Linked DNA regions of Xenopus tropicalis. The protein of the gene in region 1 interacts with the protein of each later gene in a pairwise test. Links are inferred from orthologs where the notes say so. Each region holds a gene or a part of one and is shown in the gene's direction. Other genes may lie near its edges.

Region 1 (4,675 bases):
ACTGTAAAGGAGTGATTCACCTGTATATTAACTTTTAGTATAATGCAGGTAATGAAATTCTAAGAAAGTTTGCAATTGGTCTTTGTTCTTTATTTATTGTGATTTGTTAAATAATTAGCTTTTTGTTCACCAGCACCCTGGTTTAGAATTTTGGCAGCTATCTGGTTCTTAGGGTCCAATTTAACGTAAAGAATAACAATAAAGTTGTGGTCTCACAGATCAATAGTTATTTGCATGTTGAGGTTGGTAAACCCAGTTTGAAAGCTGAAAAGAGGTAGACGAGAAAGACAGATAATTCAAATAGTATAAAAAAATAAATAGGCCATTCTGTAGCATACTACAAGTTAACCTGCAGTTGAACCACCCTTTTGCACAAGTGTGCATGCATTATCACACTGAAAATATTCACTATGATAAAAAACAAACCACCCTAGTGATTACTAATGTAAATGTTTGAATGGAAGTGAAAGGCAGATTTTGATATTGTCTGAAGAACAGATTATGACTGAAGAACACATAGTAGCCAGTGTGTTTAAAAGCCTTGGCTGGAAGTACAGATCCAGTGTAAGAACAACTAGGAAATACTAGATCAACTTGATTTCTTTGAAGCCTTCTGCATGTTTTAGTTAGCCCATGGGAGATCTTTGCATTACAGTTTGTGAGTAGTGGGCCTGTCAGATACATCCCCTAGTGCTAAAAAGCTGAACTATGAGAAATGTCTTAAAGGGTTACTGTCATGATTTTTATGGTATACTTTTTATTTCTAAATTACATTGTATACATAGCAAATAATTCACTTTTTATTACTTGTAATATTGGCTTATAGGCAGCCATCTCAGTGCATTGTGCCTGAGCTTTCAGAAGGAGCCAGTGCTACACATTAGAGCTGCTTTCAGGTAACCTATTGTTTCTGGAGGAGTCCCAAGCCGGACTTGGATTTTTACTATTGAGTGCTATTCTGATATCTACTGGGAGCTGCTATCTTGTTACCCTCCCTTTGTTCTGCGTTTGCGTTTTTGAAAAGGGATTTCAATGCAGGATTCTGCTGGAGAAGCTCTATTAACTGATGTGTTTTGAAAAAAACATGTTTTCTCATGACAGTATTGCTTTAAGTTAAATTATTGCTAGTAAATAAAGGCTCCAAACAGATGGGTATGTGAATCATAGTATACTTCAAGGAATGATTTAACTGGTTGCCCATGGTGATGTGTTTTTTGTTCAGTCTACTTGTAAAACATCAGTCAGAAAAGAACTGGAAACTGCATGACAATACTATGTTTTGCAGGTTGTACCTTACGTGGGTACAATTTTTGGTGGCCTGGAACCAGGACAGATGGTTGTAGTACATGGGACTGTTCCTTCTGATGCAGATCGGTAAGCCATGATACTGTGCAAATGCCTTACAGTATTGGATATCAATTTCATATTTTAACACTTAATTCTACAGAAAAATGTAAATAAAAAAAGACTGTTAGGCAAGTGTCACACGATTTTGGACAGAAAATATTGTTTGAAGTTTGAAATCTGCCCCGTGTGTTCAATAAGCAATGGTTGTCATTAAAGGGCACATATAACCCGAAAAACGCTTCCCCACCAGAGGTGCTGGCTAATAGAGTCCTCACTCTGGTTGGGGGGAACCGTACCCTCCGGCGTTGGAAGTAAATAAGTAGCCAAAGTAAGTAAGTAGAAAAAAGTCAAGAGGAACAAATCCAAAGTTCAGCTCTCACAATCCTTTTTCTTTCCTATTGATCTAAAAAAAAACCCCAAATACTTCCATATAAAAGTATTACCAGTTCTGGCATAATAAGGTTAATAAATACAACAATAATCTTTCCCAATTTCCCTTTTAGCTTATGCAAAGTGAATTAGCACGCTTTCTATCATGATAATTCTAATGAAATCATTTCACTCTAATGCATATACTTGTGCTAACGGTAGTGTGTCTTTGTAGGTGTCACTCTGTTTAACTCTAAGCTCATATGTCTCTGAGTGTGTATGTTACACTGCCTCTGTGTAACTGTATATGCTAGACTGTTGCTATGTGTGCCACATCTGAGTGTTTCAGTGTCAGTGCTGCATTGGTTAATATTCTGCACAATCATTATGGCCAGTGGTCCCAACACACACAACATTAATTGCTGGCTGCTAAACAAAAGACTGCAGCTGCATGCAAGTGTGTTGTACAGCAGACTTACCACTTGTCGCTGTTGTACAGCAGACTTACCACTTGTGGCTGTTGTACAGCAGACTTACCACTTGTCGCTGTTGTACAGCAGACTTACCACTTGTGGCTGTTGTACAGCAGACTTACCACTTGTCGCTGTTGTACAGCAGACTTACCACTTGTCGCTGTTGTACAGCAGACTTACCACTTGTCGCTGTTGTACAGCAGACTTACCACTTGTCGCTGTTGTACAGCAGACTTACCACTTGTCGCTGTTGTACAGCAGACTTACCACTTGTGGCTGTTGTACAGCAGACTTACCACTTGTGGCTGTTGTACAGCAGACTTACCACTTGTGGCTGTTGTACAGCAGACTTACCACTTGTCGCTGTTGTACAGCAGACTTACCACTTGTGGCTGTTGTACAGCAGACTTACCACTTGTCGCTGTTGTACAGCAGACTTACCACTTGTCGCTGTTGTACAGCAGACTTACCACTTGTCGCTGTTGTACAGCAGACTTACCACTTGTCGCTGTTGTACAGCAGACTTACCACTTGTCGCTGTTGTACAGCAGACTTACCACTTGTGGCTGTTGTACAGCAGACTTACCACTTGTGGCTGTTGTACAGCAGACTTACCACTTGTGGCTGTTGTACAGCAGACTTACCACTTGTCACTGTTGGCCACAGAGCAGTGTCAGTGGGTTCTGACTAATATATGAGTAACTGTGCTAATATGAACAGCGTAAAAGCAGCATTAGGGGGCTGATAGGATGTAAAAAATGTTATGTTTTTGTTTTTTCTTTTACCCTGTTGGCTCTTTACCCCAGCACTAGCAACTTGGGAGAAGAATGAATGGAGTCCAGCTCTGGTATGTATAGAGAGCTGGTTGGTTGAGGACTGATTGCAAGTATAGTGCTGAGAATGTTTTTATAGTCATAGTGGTATATTTATTAAAAGTAAAACACGTCTATTAGTTTACTATAGGGATCCAGGATTCGGTTCGGGGTTCGGCCAAGATTCAGCCTTTTTTAGCAGGATTTGCCTGAATCCTTAAAATAATGTGACTTTTTGTCACAAAAACACAGGAGTAGGATTCAGCCAAATCTGAAAATAGTGGATTCGGTGAATCCTTAGTTTAATATCTGAAAAATGGCTTTTAGGATAATATAAATAAAATTACATGCTTTATTTATTTATTTTGAATATTAGATTTCAGATAGACTTCCAGTGTGGAAGCAGCATCCATCCTCGTTCTGATGTGGCTTTTCACTTCAACCCTCGCTTTAAAGGGTCCGGACACATTGTATGCAACACCCTACAAAATGAAAAATGGGGATGGGAGGAAAAAACATACCACTTGCCATTTACAAAGGGGCAACCATTTGAAGTTATATTTTTGGTTTTTCACCATAAATTTCAGGTGAGTTCAGATTTGTCTTACACAAATAATATGATAAATCTCTGTTCATTGATTCTAAGTATGTTCCTTTTTTAAGTGGTTTGAGTATAAACATAATTGATTCCTTATATTGTAAGATGGGAAGAATACAGGGGCAAGGAATAAGATCTCTATACGTGTGAGGACATTTTAAGGAAAATTATTTTTTTATTTGCAATTTTAACTCCTTTTCAGTTAACTTGACTCAAGGTGTGTGCTACTGCATTTATTATGTGCAAGCAAGTAGGAAAATTGGTGCTTGTATTCAGCCTATCAACAGGGGCACCATATTAGGTTCAATTACAAATGGAAGTGAAAAACCATGAAAAAACCATTCGCTCAGACTTGCTGGCGGAATAAATAACTAAAATTTTGTCATACAGTGATGTGGAATTGGTTGGCAATTTGTAAATGTGTGTCTAAGAAAAAATAATAATACTACTAAACACTGTTGCCATATACTGGGATTGCTTTGCTATTTTAGTGAGCAGGTGATAAGACTAGCACTAGCTACATTTCTCTAGTACTTATATTGTATTGTATTTTTTGTATAGGTGTCTTCAAATGGAAAAAACTTACTTGTCTATAAACACAGAATCGGTCTAGAAAAAGTTGATACGCTGGGTATATCTGGTAAAGTGAAGATTAATTCAATTGGATTTTTATCTCAACCAGTAAGTATGAATACATATATTTCCACCCATAGGAATGGGTTAATTGTGCCCATACCTGCATGTATTTGTGAAGCACATGTATGTAACTTATCCATTACCATTGTCCTTTGTCACCAGTATTCCCCCAAATAGCAGGTAATAAATGCAGTAGAAATAGAAAAATGCCCATGCAGTGGATGTAATGAGGTTTTACACCCTGTGTTTTAGCAACAGTGAGTGAATGCACATGGTTTCATGGTGGCTGATGCTTTCCTGACATGAATATAGCAGCCACCCGTAACACAGTTGTCCCCCATGCAGTATTTATTTGCATGTTTCCACCCTGGTTAAAGCCTCTCATTTTTGGTTTCAAGGTAATGATATATGTAGCATACAGCATGTAAAGATAATACCTC
Region 2 (4,675 bases), on another chromosome or scaffold:
AGGTAAACCACCCCTGGGCCTATTTATCAAAATTCAAGGTTGTGAATTTTCAAGTTGTTTTTTATTTGAAAAAAACTAAAAACTGTATTGTTTGCTTTTTTATTTGAATCGCAAAGACTCAATAGATTATAGAATTGAAAACAGTCTTGAAACCAGTCGGGTAGGCCCATCTGAGGGCCCCATACAGGGCCCAGTCAGCTGCCAACTCAGTGTGTCTGCAGCTTTTATCAATCCCTGTATGGCTCCCTTAAATGTGAGCTTTTAATTTCCTGATTACATGGAACATCCTGTGACTATCTGCATGTGTCTGGTAATTACCCCTACGGGTACACTGAGCCGGCGTGATTGATTTATTATCTGTGGAGAGTTTTAAAATGCAATTCCTGTTGTTTTCCTGCAGGTGAATGGAACAGCCCTGTCTCATTCTAAGCCAAATGTTCAACTAAACATGGAAACACTGGAGTCAGAACTGACCTGTCCAATCTGCCTGGAGTTATTTGAGGACCCGCTGCTTCTCCCTTGTGCCCATAGCTTGTGCTTCAGCTGTGCCCACCGTATTCTCACTTCCGGATGTGCTTCCAACGAAATAGCGGAGCCAGTACCAGCTTTTCAGTGTCCGACTTGCAGATATGTTATATCTTTAAATCACCGCGGTCTGGAAGGTTTAAAACGCAACGTTACCTTGCAGAACATTATTGATCGCTTTCAGAAGGCTTCTTTAAGTGTTCCCAACTCTCCTAGTGACGATCACAGGGAAAAAATCTATAGGACTGTCCCCATTATGGCCTCCGAAAGGATCCCGTGCCAGTTCTGTGAGACAGAGCCACCAAGGGATGCCGTGAAAACATGTATCACCTGTGAGGTGTCCTACTGTGATCGGTGTTTGAGGGCAACTCACCCCAATAAAAAGCCCTTTACCAGCCACAGACTGGTGGAACCAATTCCAGACGGTCACTTTCGGGGCCTGGCTTGTCTAGAACATGAAAATGAGAAAGTCAATATGTACTGTACAGTAGACGATCAGCTTATCTGTGCCTTATGCAAACTGGTTGGTAGGCACAGAGAGCACCAGGTGGCTTCTTTAAGTGACAGATATGAAAAACTCAAGGTAAGAAACTGAGAGAGTATTTACTCAACACCAATAACTGTAAAATACTTCATATAAAGTTTATAACTCACTCTAGTGCTGGTTTTATTGCCCTATATCCTGCGAGCACCCCCAATAAATCCTAATACCGTGTGTTCCCATACCTATTACACTATCCTTGAGTTTCTTATTGTCACTTCTTATGTTGCCTGAGTATTTATTCCACATTGCTTGTCTCACAGGAGCCAAGGCTTTGCCATAACTCCTGTTTATTAATATGTGAAGACTCAGAATGAATTCATATCTCGATCAGTGCAATATAATGGGGTAATGAAATGCAGTCACAGCAGATACTGGGGTATTTATCAGAGATATGCCCATTCTTATTTTCTGTTCTGCATTTGTGTATTTTGATAAAGTCTAAATTGTTTGTATCTGCTTGAGTAACTGGAATTCCACCCAAACACAACTTAAAGTTTTTTGAAAAGTTAACATAATTTCAAGCAACTTTGCAAAATACATCAATTAAACAAATATGCAGCATTTTAATGTAATAATATGGTTTTGAACAGTTACCTAAGCCTGGCCGCTGTTCTCCTGCTGACCTGCCTGACTACTTTGAGACAGTAACAGTAGTCAGCTGTCCACTGCCTGCCTCAGCCAGCATTTTTCAAATCCTACAATTCCCCGCACACGTGATGTCAATAAAGAAAGGAGCATCACAGTTCAATGCATTGTTGTTCCTGCATACTGTCTTTAAGCTGTAGAGAAGTTGTTGCATTGTAACATCCGTGTTTTAGTCCCTCCTCCCCTGCCAGGATTTCAGATGATGCAGAAAGGGAAGAACAGTTTAAAAAAAAATGGTTTTATTCATACTGTTTGAAGGAACAGATTACAGTTATAGGTATATTAGGGGTTTCTATGTTGTATGGGGCACTTAAGCAAATTTTGGTTCGGAAACCAGAGTTCCACTTTCATTCTAATCAGAACAATACCCATATCCTATTGGCTCTGGTGACTGTAGCTTTGTGATCTAGTACTATTCTTATATTTTCTTCTATGATCTTTATCTGTTGTTGCTTAACACCTTAGAACCCAATCAAAAAAGTATTTCTTGACTTGTCACCAAGACACCTTGGTGACCATCCATTGTTATGCTCACTATATGCCAGACAACATTGCCTGCTATCTCGGCTATGCTCAGCTTATAACTAGCCCATGTGGGGTCGAAACAAAAGCCTGTCTGAACAATATGAGCCAGACATTTATTAGGCAGGTTTCAGTGGTGGACATGGTCTCCTGATCGGTCTCCATAGGCCTCAGCATTGTATTTTTTTGTTTGGCCAGGGTCCGAAAGGTCAGATGAACCCAATTATACAAACCATGTTTTGTTAATGCAGAGGAACCCAAAAGGGAGGGAGAAGGTTACATCCAGGAGGCGCAGTTGCAAAACCACTGAGTGGACCAAGAACGAAGCTTCCCCCCCCACACTGTGAACTGCACCGAGTGCTGGATAAAATCTGGCGCTCAGTAAAAAGCACAGCGTTAGGATGTAAAATGGAACACAGAGGCCCGTGGCAATTTGTGAATGCTGAAATTGTACAAAATGCAAAGAAATGGCCCATTGTGGCCCGCTCACTGTGTTTCCGTTCTCAAATGAGCCCTCATGTTTGCTGCTATTATTTATTTCATGAAGTTTGATGTTATTGTCTATTGTGTATACAGGAAAGCCAATTGTACCCCCTTGTCTTATATATTAGTGCTATTTCCTTTAGACCGTGGTAAGTGAACTGTCAAATAAGGTGACAGTGGAAACCATATTTATGATTGATACAAAGGATATTTTGCACCAGGACAACTTGTATTTACTGTAGCTATAGTTTCCAATAAATCCTGCATTTCAAGTTACATTTTTTCTCTCCTATTTATAAATATAGTTGGAGATCATAGACAGTGAGGAGACAAAGATGCCCCCAGTAGCTCCCCATCTTCTTTTCTGCTAATTCCTTGCACGTGCTCTGTGCTGCTGTCACTTACTGAGCTTAGGGACTGACTCACAATATTCTGTATATACACAATTATAAATGTCACAATATAAGGCTTATTAGCAATAAATACAGGTAATTACTACACGGAGGCTCTGTAACCAGTGCAATTTGCATCAGAATGCAATAGTCAGCCCTGTAGCATCAGCTTATATGACAGACAAACCTTATTTTCTGCTTGATAATTTGCAATGGTCCCTAAGTTTAGCTTCTCAACAGCTCCTCAGAACACACTGAGCATGTGCAGTGTCACTGACACTTTTAACAGAATCCAAAAATCCAAGACCTGAATCAAAGCTACTATTGAGATTCTGAAACTTTATGCTGGGGCAGTAAGTTCAGTATTTAATATAGCCATATTCATTTTTATGTTTTAGTATTTCCTTAGAAATAATCTCACAGCATTCATAGAGTTTGTTGACCCCTTACCCCTTATCCTCATGATAAAAGAAAGTAGTTACAGCAGTGATTATAGCAGTATATCTTGTCTAGACATTGGCTTTAATACATTGTAGAGATTTGTGTTTCTTTTCAGTACAGTGAAAAACTGTGGTCCTGTGGGAAGTGGCAACATGTTCCTGAATTCTGCACAAATACAAAATGATGCTCATAAGGAATCTCTTCCATCACAGTATTGTACAGATATGGGGTCCGTTATCTGGAAACACGGTATCCATAAAGTTCCAAATTATGGGATGGCCATCTCCCATAGACTACATCAAATAATTCACATGTATAAAAATTATTTCCTTTTTCCTCTGTAATAATAAAACTGTACCTTGTACTTGATCCCTACCGAGATATAAATAATCCTTATTGGAGGCAAAACAGTCCTTTTGGGTTTATTTAAAGTTTAAATTATTATTTTTTTTTTTAGTAAACATAAAGTATGGAGATCCAAATTACTGAAAACCCCCTATTGGGAAAATCCCAATACTTCTGGATAACAGTCCCTGTACCTGTACAGGTATAGGATCCTTTATCCAGATACCCATTATCCCAAAAGTTCTGAATTATCTCCTATAGACTCCATTATAAGCAAATAATTCTAATTTTTAAAAACGATTTCCTTTTTCTTTGTAATAATAAAACAGAACCTTGTACTTGATCCCAACTAAGATATAATTATTCCTTATTGGAAGCTAAACAATCCTGTTGGGTTTAAATGATTTTTTAGTAGACTTATGGTATGGAGATCCAAATTACGGAAAGATCTCTTATCCAGAAAGCCCCAGGTCCCGAGCATTCTGGATAACAGGTATTATACCTGTACTTGGATATTGATGTCACTAGCGCAAGCAGCCAATCGGACAATTAGAATGGGCACATCTGTTGTTGGAATGCCAGCTTTGACGGTGACAGATGTCTATAGAATGTGTGAGAAGTGCCTCTGTGAAATTCATACATACAGCTTGTATATACACTATGATCATGTCTCAGTTTACAATTCATCTCTCATTACCATTTATGATGCAATTAATCACGGCCTGCATTAACACGTTTTAGGTGGACTTGTGTTAATCTAAAACAGGTACAATGTGTC
Region 3 (4,675 bases), on another chromosome or scaffold:
CCATGATCAGTTGATTAATAGTTTCTATATTACTTTATAGGAGCATTTGAAGTTCCAATCTGATGGCCTTTGGCTACTTTTAGTGACCCTAGAATTAAAGGACAGATGTCAATTAATAAGCTAATTGAAGATGTATGATTAACAACTTTATTAATGCTGTTTTCCTATGCATTGCTTCGAAGCAGTGAGCAGTGAGCATGTGTAATACATACATAATTGCTTTTAAATCCCAACAGAATAAATATAAATACTAGCATTATATGACTGGACCTCGATTAAAAATGTTTTTAGCAGTTCTCAATCAAATCTATAACTAAGAAATTAAAGGGATTCTGTCATGAGTTTTATGGGGTACTTTTTATTTCTAAATTACACTGTTTACATAGCAAATAATTCACTCTGCTATTTAGAATCTTATTCTTGAACCAACAAATGTAATATTGGTGTGTAGGCGCCATCTCAGTGCATTGTGCCTGAGTCTGAGCTTTCAGAAGGAGCCAGCGCTACACATTAGAACTACTTTCAGCTAACCTATTGTTTCTCCTACTCCCATGTAACTGGAGGAGTCCCAAGCCAGACTTGGATTTCTTACTATTGGTGTTGGGGGGGGGCTGGGCTTGTTGGGGGGGGGGGCACCAATATTTATTATTTATTTTTTTATTTATATACCGTCAAATACCGTGATACCGATATAATTTTGAAAAATACCGTGATATAAATTTTTGGTCATACCGCCCAGCTCTAGCTCAGATTACACATTCCTAAGTGTGGGGGGAGTGAGTTCTATGAATTCTTATGGGAGAGAGGAGAGAACTGCTGCAGATACAGGAATGAATGATTTTCTGAGAAAGTCAGATACCCTAACACCATGTTAACAAAGAAAGAAGACTAGAAATCCTGTGTTTCTTTTGATAAAGGATAGTGCAGCGTTTCTGTGAGTGCTATTGGGTAAATTTACATAGACCTTTCTGATAAAGCTTACTTAGTTTTTACCTTTTATCTCCTTAAAGACAATTCAGATATTGATCAGAATGAATGGACCATTGAACCCAGATGTGGTCTTCTTTCAAGTCTAAATAGGAGTAGATCAGTGGCTGGAGGGCTAATTTATTGGATCAGGCCTATTAAGCCCACCACTTTGGTAGCTAAATGTTAGCCCGCCTCACCAAAACTTATTAGATTCCCTAAAAACCATTCTAGATGCTAAAGTTTTTGCTGTAATACCTTCAGTCATGGTGGTGTCAACTGAAACACGTGAAATTGGATAATGCTTTAAGTGTAGTCGTAGGGGAAGCTCTATTGATGTGCTACAGTTGCAGCTGTGATATGTACTTTAATAGGTAATTCGGCGAAGTGTTGCCCTTTGTGTTAAACGCTGGGCTCTGAATTGGCAGACCTTTGTCCACCACCATGTGTACCCTGCCCCACCACCGTACGACCTTGTGTCTCAGGTACCTTTATGTATATTTTTAACGTCAATTACATTCCCTTTTGGGTCTTTAAACAATAAGCATTAACTCTCCCAGACATGCTTTCTGTTCATTTGACATCCAATATGCTCTAATGCATAATAATAATAATACAACTAAAATGTATTGCTTTGGGTTTGTGTACAGAGATCTGCATAAGAATAATACATTTTTATCTGCATGCACCATGACTTAGTATATGGAAGGCAGTTTGTTTTTGTTCGGGGCTTGATACAGGTAATCTGAAATGTATTTCTGTATTTAAAATGTTCGTTGAAGTCTAATCTTGATGTTGTAGTTAGAAAATTAAGTTGTGAATTCTTCTTATTTGATGCTCAGTTAACTAGAACAATGAGCCCTAGCTATTGCCTCCATGCAATATTTAATTAGCTCTTTATTACTAATATTCTCTAACTGCCTATTTGTTCTCAGATTCTCAGAAAACCAAAGGATATTGCTGCCTTGTACCGGGAATTCAGTCAGTTTCCATCTCTGTCTAGTGTGTCTATAGGCCCTGAAGTCACCACACAGTATGGGGGAAAATACAGCAATATCTACACAGGTAAGCAAATAGATTAGTATATGGTACGGTATTTGCAAACAGAAGTACAGACTTTTCAACTGCTCTAAACCAGCACCACCATCATACTTTACTGTAGGTACAGGTTAACTATTTTCAGGGTTTGGGCATCAAGACAGGGTAATACATGTACTGCAAAAGAACTGATGCATGGGCCAAAGTCAGCAGGACTATGATCCCAAACACAAGGTGAAATAAAAATGGTGTGATTCTAGAATAAAAATGCACAGGATGTGTAGTGGCCCAGTCACAGCTTGGATCTTGATAAGTACTTTTCAGATTTCTCTGTAAAATGTGAGAATTGGTTAAGCGTCTGAATAGTTTTGCATGGCACTTTATATATAGATATACTATAACAGGTCTTGGCTGTGCTGCTTTGGTCTGAGATGACTATTCCTATTGTAATTCTGTTGCTGTTTTCTTTCTCAGAATGGTCACAGAGAGATCTGGATCGTAGCGAACAAGTGAAGTTTTGCCGACAGTACATTGTTTTTCATGACAATAATACTGTTGTATATTCTGGGGCTTGTGGAAATGGAAGTGAAATTAAGGGCGAGTAAGTAGACCTCTGGATTGGAGGAATGCCTGAAGTTAAAGGGGATCTGTGGGCATAAGGGACAAATATGGCTTTGTTTGGGAACATTTCTGAAAGTGTTGCAGCATGTTAGGGCTCATTAACGTATGGAAGTTGAAAGTGCAGAAATGTACATCTCTAAATGCTTGTTTAGAGTAAAGTAAAAACATACTTGTTTTTATACATGCTTTTCAACACCTTACAGCAAGTACATCCTACTCTTATGAACTACACGTCATTGGACGGAAGCTTGAACTACAGGGTACATGTATGCAATTAATACCTGCATTGAAGAGGTGTTTGTAGGGATCATGTTAAGGGTAGGTCGGGTATGCTTGTTTTTGGAGATATCTTCCTAAAGACTCACTCTGCCTATTTCACCAGACTTCTCAGCAAGGAGTCCCCTTCTGGAACCCTGAAAGCTGTCTTGCGGGAAACTAAAAACATCAAAGGGGAGGACACTCAGTTCCTAGAGGTAAGAGAGAAATTCATAGGGCTCCATCACCAGCTCATTAATCTAGGGAGTACAGAGTACCTCTGCTGTAAACGGAAAACTGATGTGGGCACTGTCCTGGATGAGGAGTGGCAATAAGTTTAGGAAGCCTCTCAACTGGTATTGCCCAATTACAGGCTATGTTTAATCCAAATATACACTTTTGACAGGGCGTATCATATCCCGGTAAGGCTACACCATATTAACCCTGATATTGCGATTTATGCACCCGCAGTGTACAAGTGGGACTTTCATACATATGATATGGAGTTATGCTCGGATAACCTCATATTGGATGAAAATAATTGATCCCTTAAGGGGGCCATACACAACCAATTCTAGCTGCTGATGTCGGTCCTTAAGACCAATTTGGCAGCTTATGTGCTGGTGTACGGGAACAAACGACAGGCCTCCCTGACCAACATTAGACTTGAAATCCGCCAGATCTCTATCAGGCAGGTTTGATTTTTCCATCAGATCGGGGACCACATTGATTCGTTGATGCAGTCCCTGAACCGACGGGCCCTATACCCGCTGTTTTAACTAGACCAAATTAGCTCAGTATCGCCCATCCTTAGGTGGGGATATCGGGAGAAGAGGGCGCCAAGCGAGCGGATCTTACTGTGTATGGCCAGCTTTAGACACAGTCCTTCAGACCAATATACCTGGAATGCCCACGTTTTGTACGTTACTGCAGGACTTAAACCTGAACCAGTATGAAACTTTTTTCCTCCTAGAAGCACTTTTGCTGGCCAAAAGGTTAATTACACAAAACTGGAGCCTCCTGCTTTCTTCACCTGGTAACAAACAGTGCACAATATCTGTAGGGTGGAGCAGCTACTGGTCATTAAGGGAGGTGTCCCCATGAAATTCCATAAAATTTAGGGCCCATGGGCTGATATATACTCACTAGATCTGCCACACAATATTACAGAATGAAAAAAATGAATGAAAAAAACAGGTGAGTACAAGATAATAAATACAGTTATTTTTCTCCAGATTTGGGAACGGAATCGCAAGGTGAAAAGCATTAACCTGACAGCGCTGGATAAGCATGGAAAGGTGTATGAGGATGGTAAGGATAATGACTAAATATGACTAAATAATGACTAAATAATCAGCTAATGATTTTGACCAATACAAAACTAAATTTAAACCCTATATATAAAAGTAAAATTAAACATTACATAACCTGTGAACATAAATTTACTGACTACAATGTCCATTGCTTAAAAGTCGCAGAACGGTATGGGCACACAGGAAATTTTTATCAGATTTTGATCATCACAGCTGTAATGTAAGTCAGCTCAGATAAAGTCAGATGGTGAGTTTTGTTCCTGCATCTAAATGCGACAGCCAGTGTATTTCAATGAGTAACAAAAGTCTTTCAGACTTTATCTTATTGGATGCAGATGCGTTCCCATCCAACAGGCATGTCGCATCAGATGGCAAAGATTTTAGGTAATTTACACATCAGATTTTTCTTTCAGTCTCATTATATTTTGACACATGCAACTACATCCAACTTGTAGGTTGTTTTCTGTTGATGCGGCACAATT

The links. The genes of interacting proteins can lie anywhere in the genome.
Region 2: the proteins of lgals8 (region 1) and mid2 interact in binary tests that used the Homo sapiens proteins (3 or more experiments, as listed by UniProt). The two-hybrid records come from large-scale screens. The link is inferred for Xenopus tropicalis from reciprocal best matches to the Homo sapiens genes LGALS8 and MID2.
Region 3: the proteins of lgals8 (region 1) and apeh interact in binary tests that used the Homo sapiens proteins (3 or more experiments, as listed by UniProt). The two-hybrid records come from large-scale screens. The link is inferred for Xenopus tropicalis from reciprocal best matches to the Homo sapiens genes LGALS8 and APEH.

What each region holds. Positions count from the first base shown.
Region 1 is NC_030681.2:41,513,210-41,517,884, reverse strand, and holds part of lgals8 (galectin-8), read left to right. Parts: intron 1-1,285; coding exon 1,286-1,374; intron 1,375-3,377; coding exon 3,378-3,588; intron 3,589-4,160; coding exon 4,161-4,280; intron 4,281-4,675.
Region 2 is NC_030684.2:40,395,985-40,400,659, reverse strand, and holds part of mid2 (probable E3 ubiquitin-protein ligase MID2), read left to right. Parts: intron 1-400; 5' UTR 401-448; coding exon 449-1,108; intron 1,109-4,675. UniProt on the Homo sapiens protein: E3 ubiquitin ligase that plays a role in microtubule stabilization. Mediates the 'Lys-48'-linked polyubiquitination of LRRK2 to drive its localization to microtubules and its proteasomal degradation in neurons.
Region 3 is NC_030680.2:125,911,367-125,916,041, forward strand, and holds part of apeh (acylamino-acid-releasing enzyme), read left to right. Parts: intron 1-1,901; coding exon 1,902-2,031; intron 2,032-2,478; coding exon 2,479-2,605; intron 2,606-3,007; coding exon 3,008-3,098; intron 3,099-4,115; coding exon 4,116-4,191; intron 4,192-4,675. UniProt on the Homo sapiens protein: This enzyme catalyzes the hydrolysis of the N-terminal peptide bond of an N-acetylated peptide to generate an N-acetylated amino acid and a peptide with a free N-terminus. It preferentially cleaves off Ac-Ala, Ac-Met and Ac-Ser.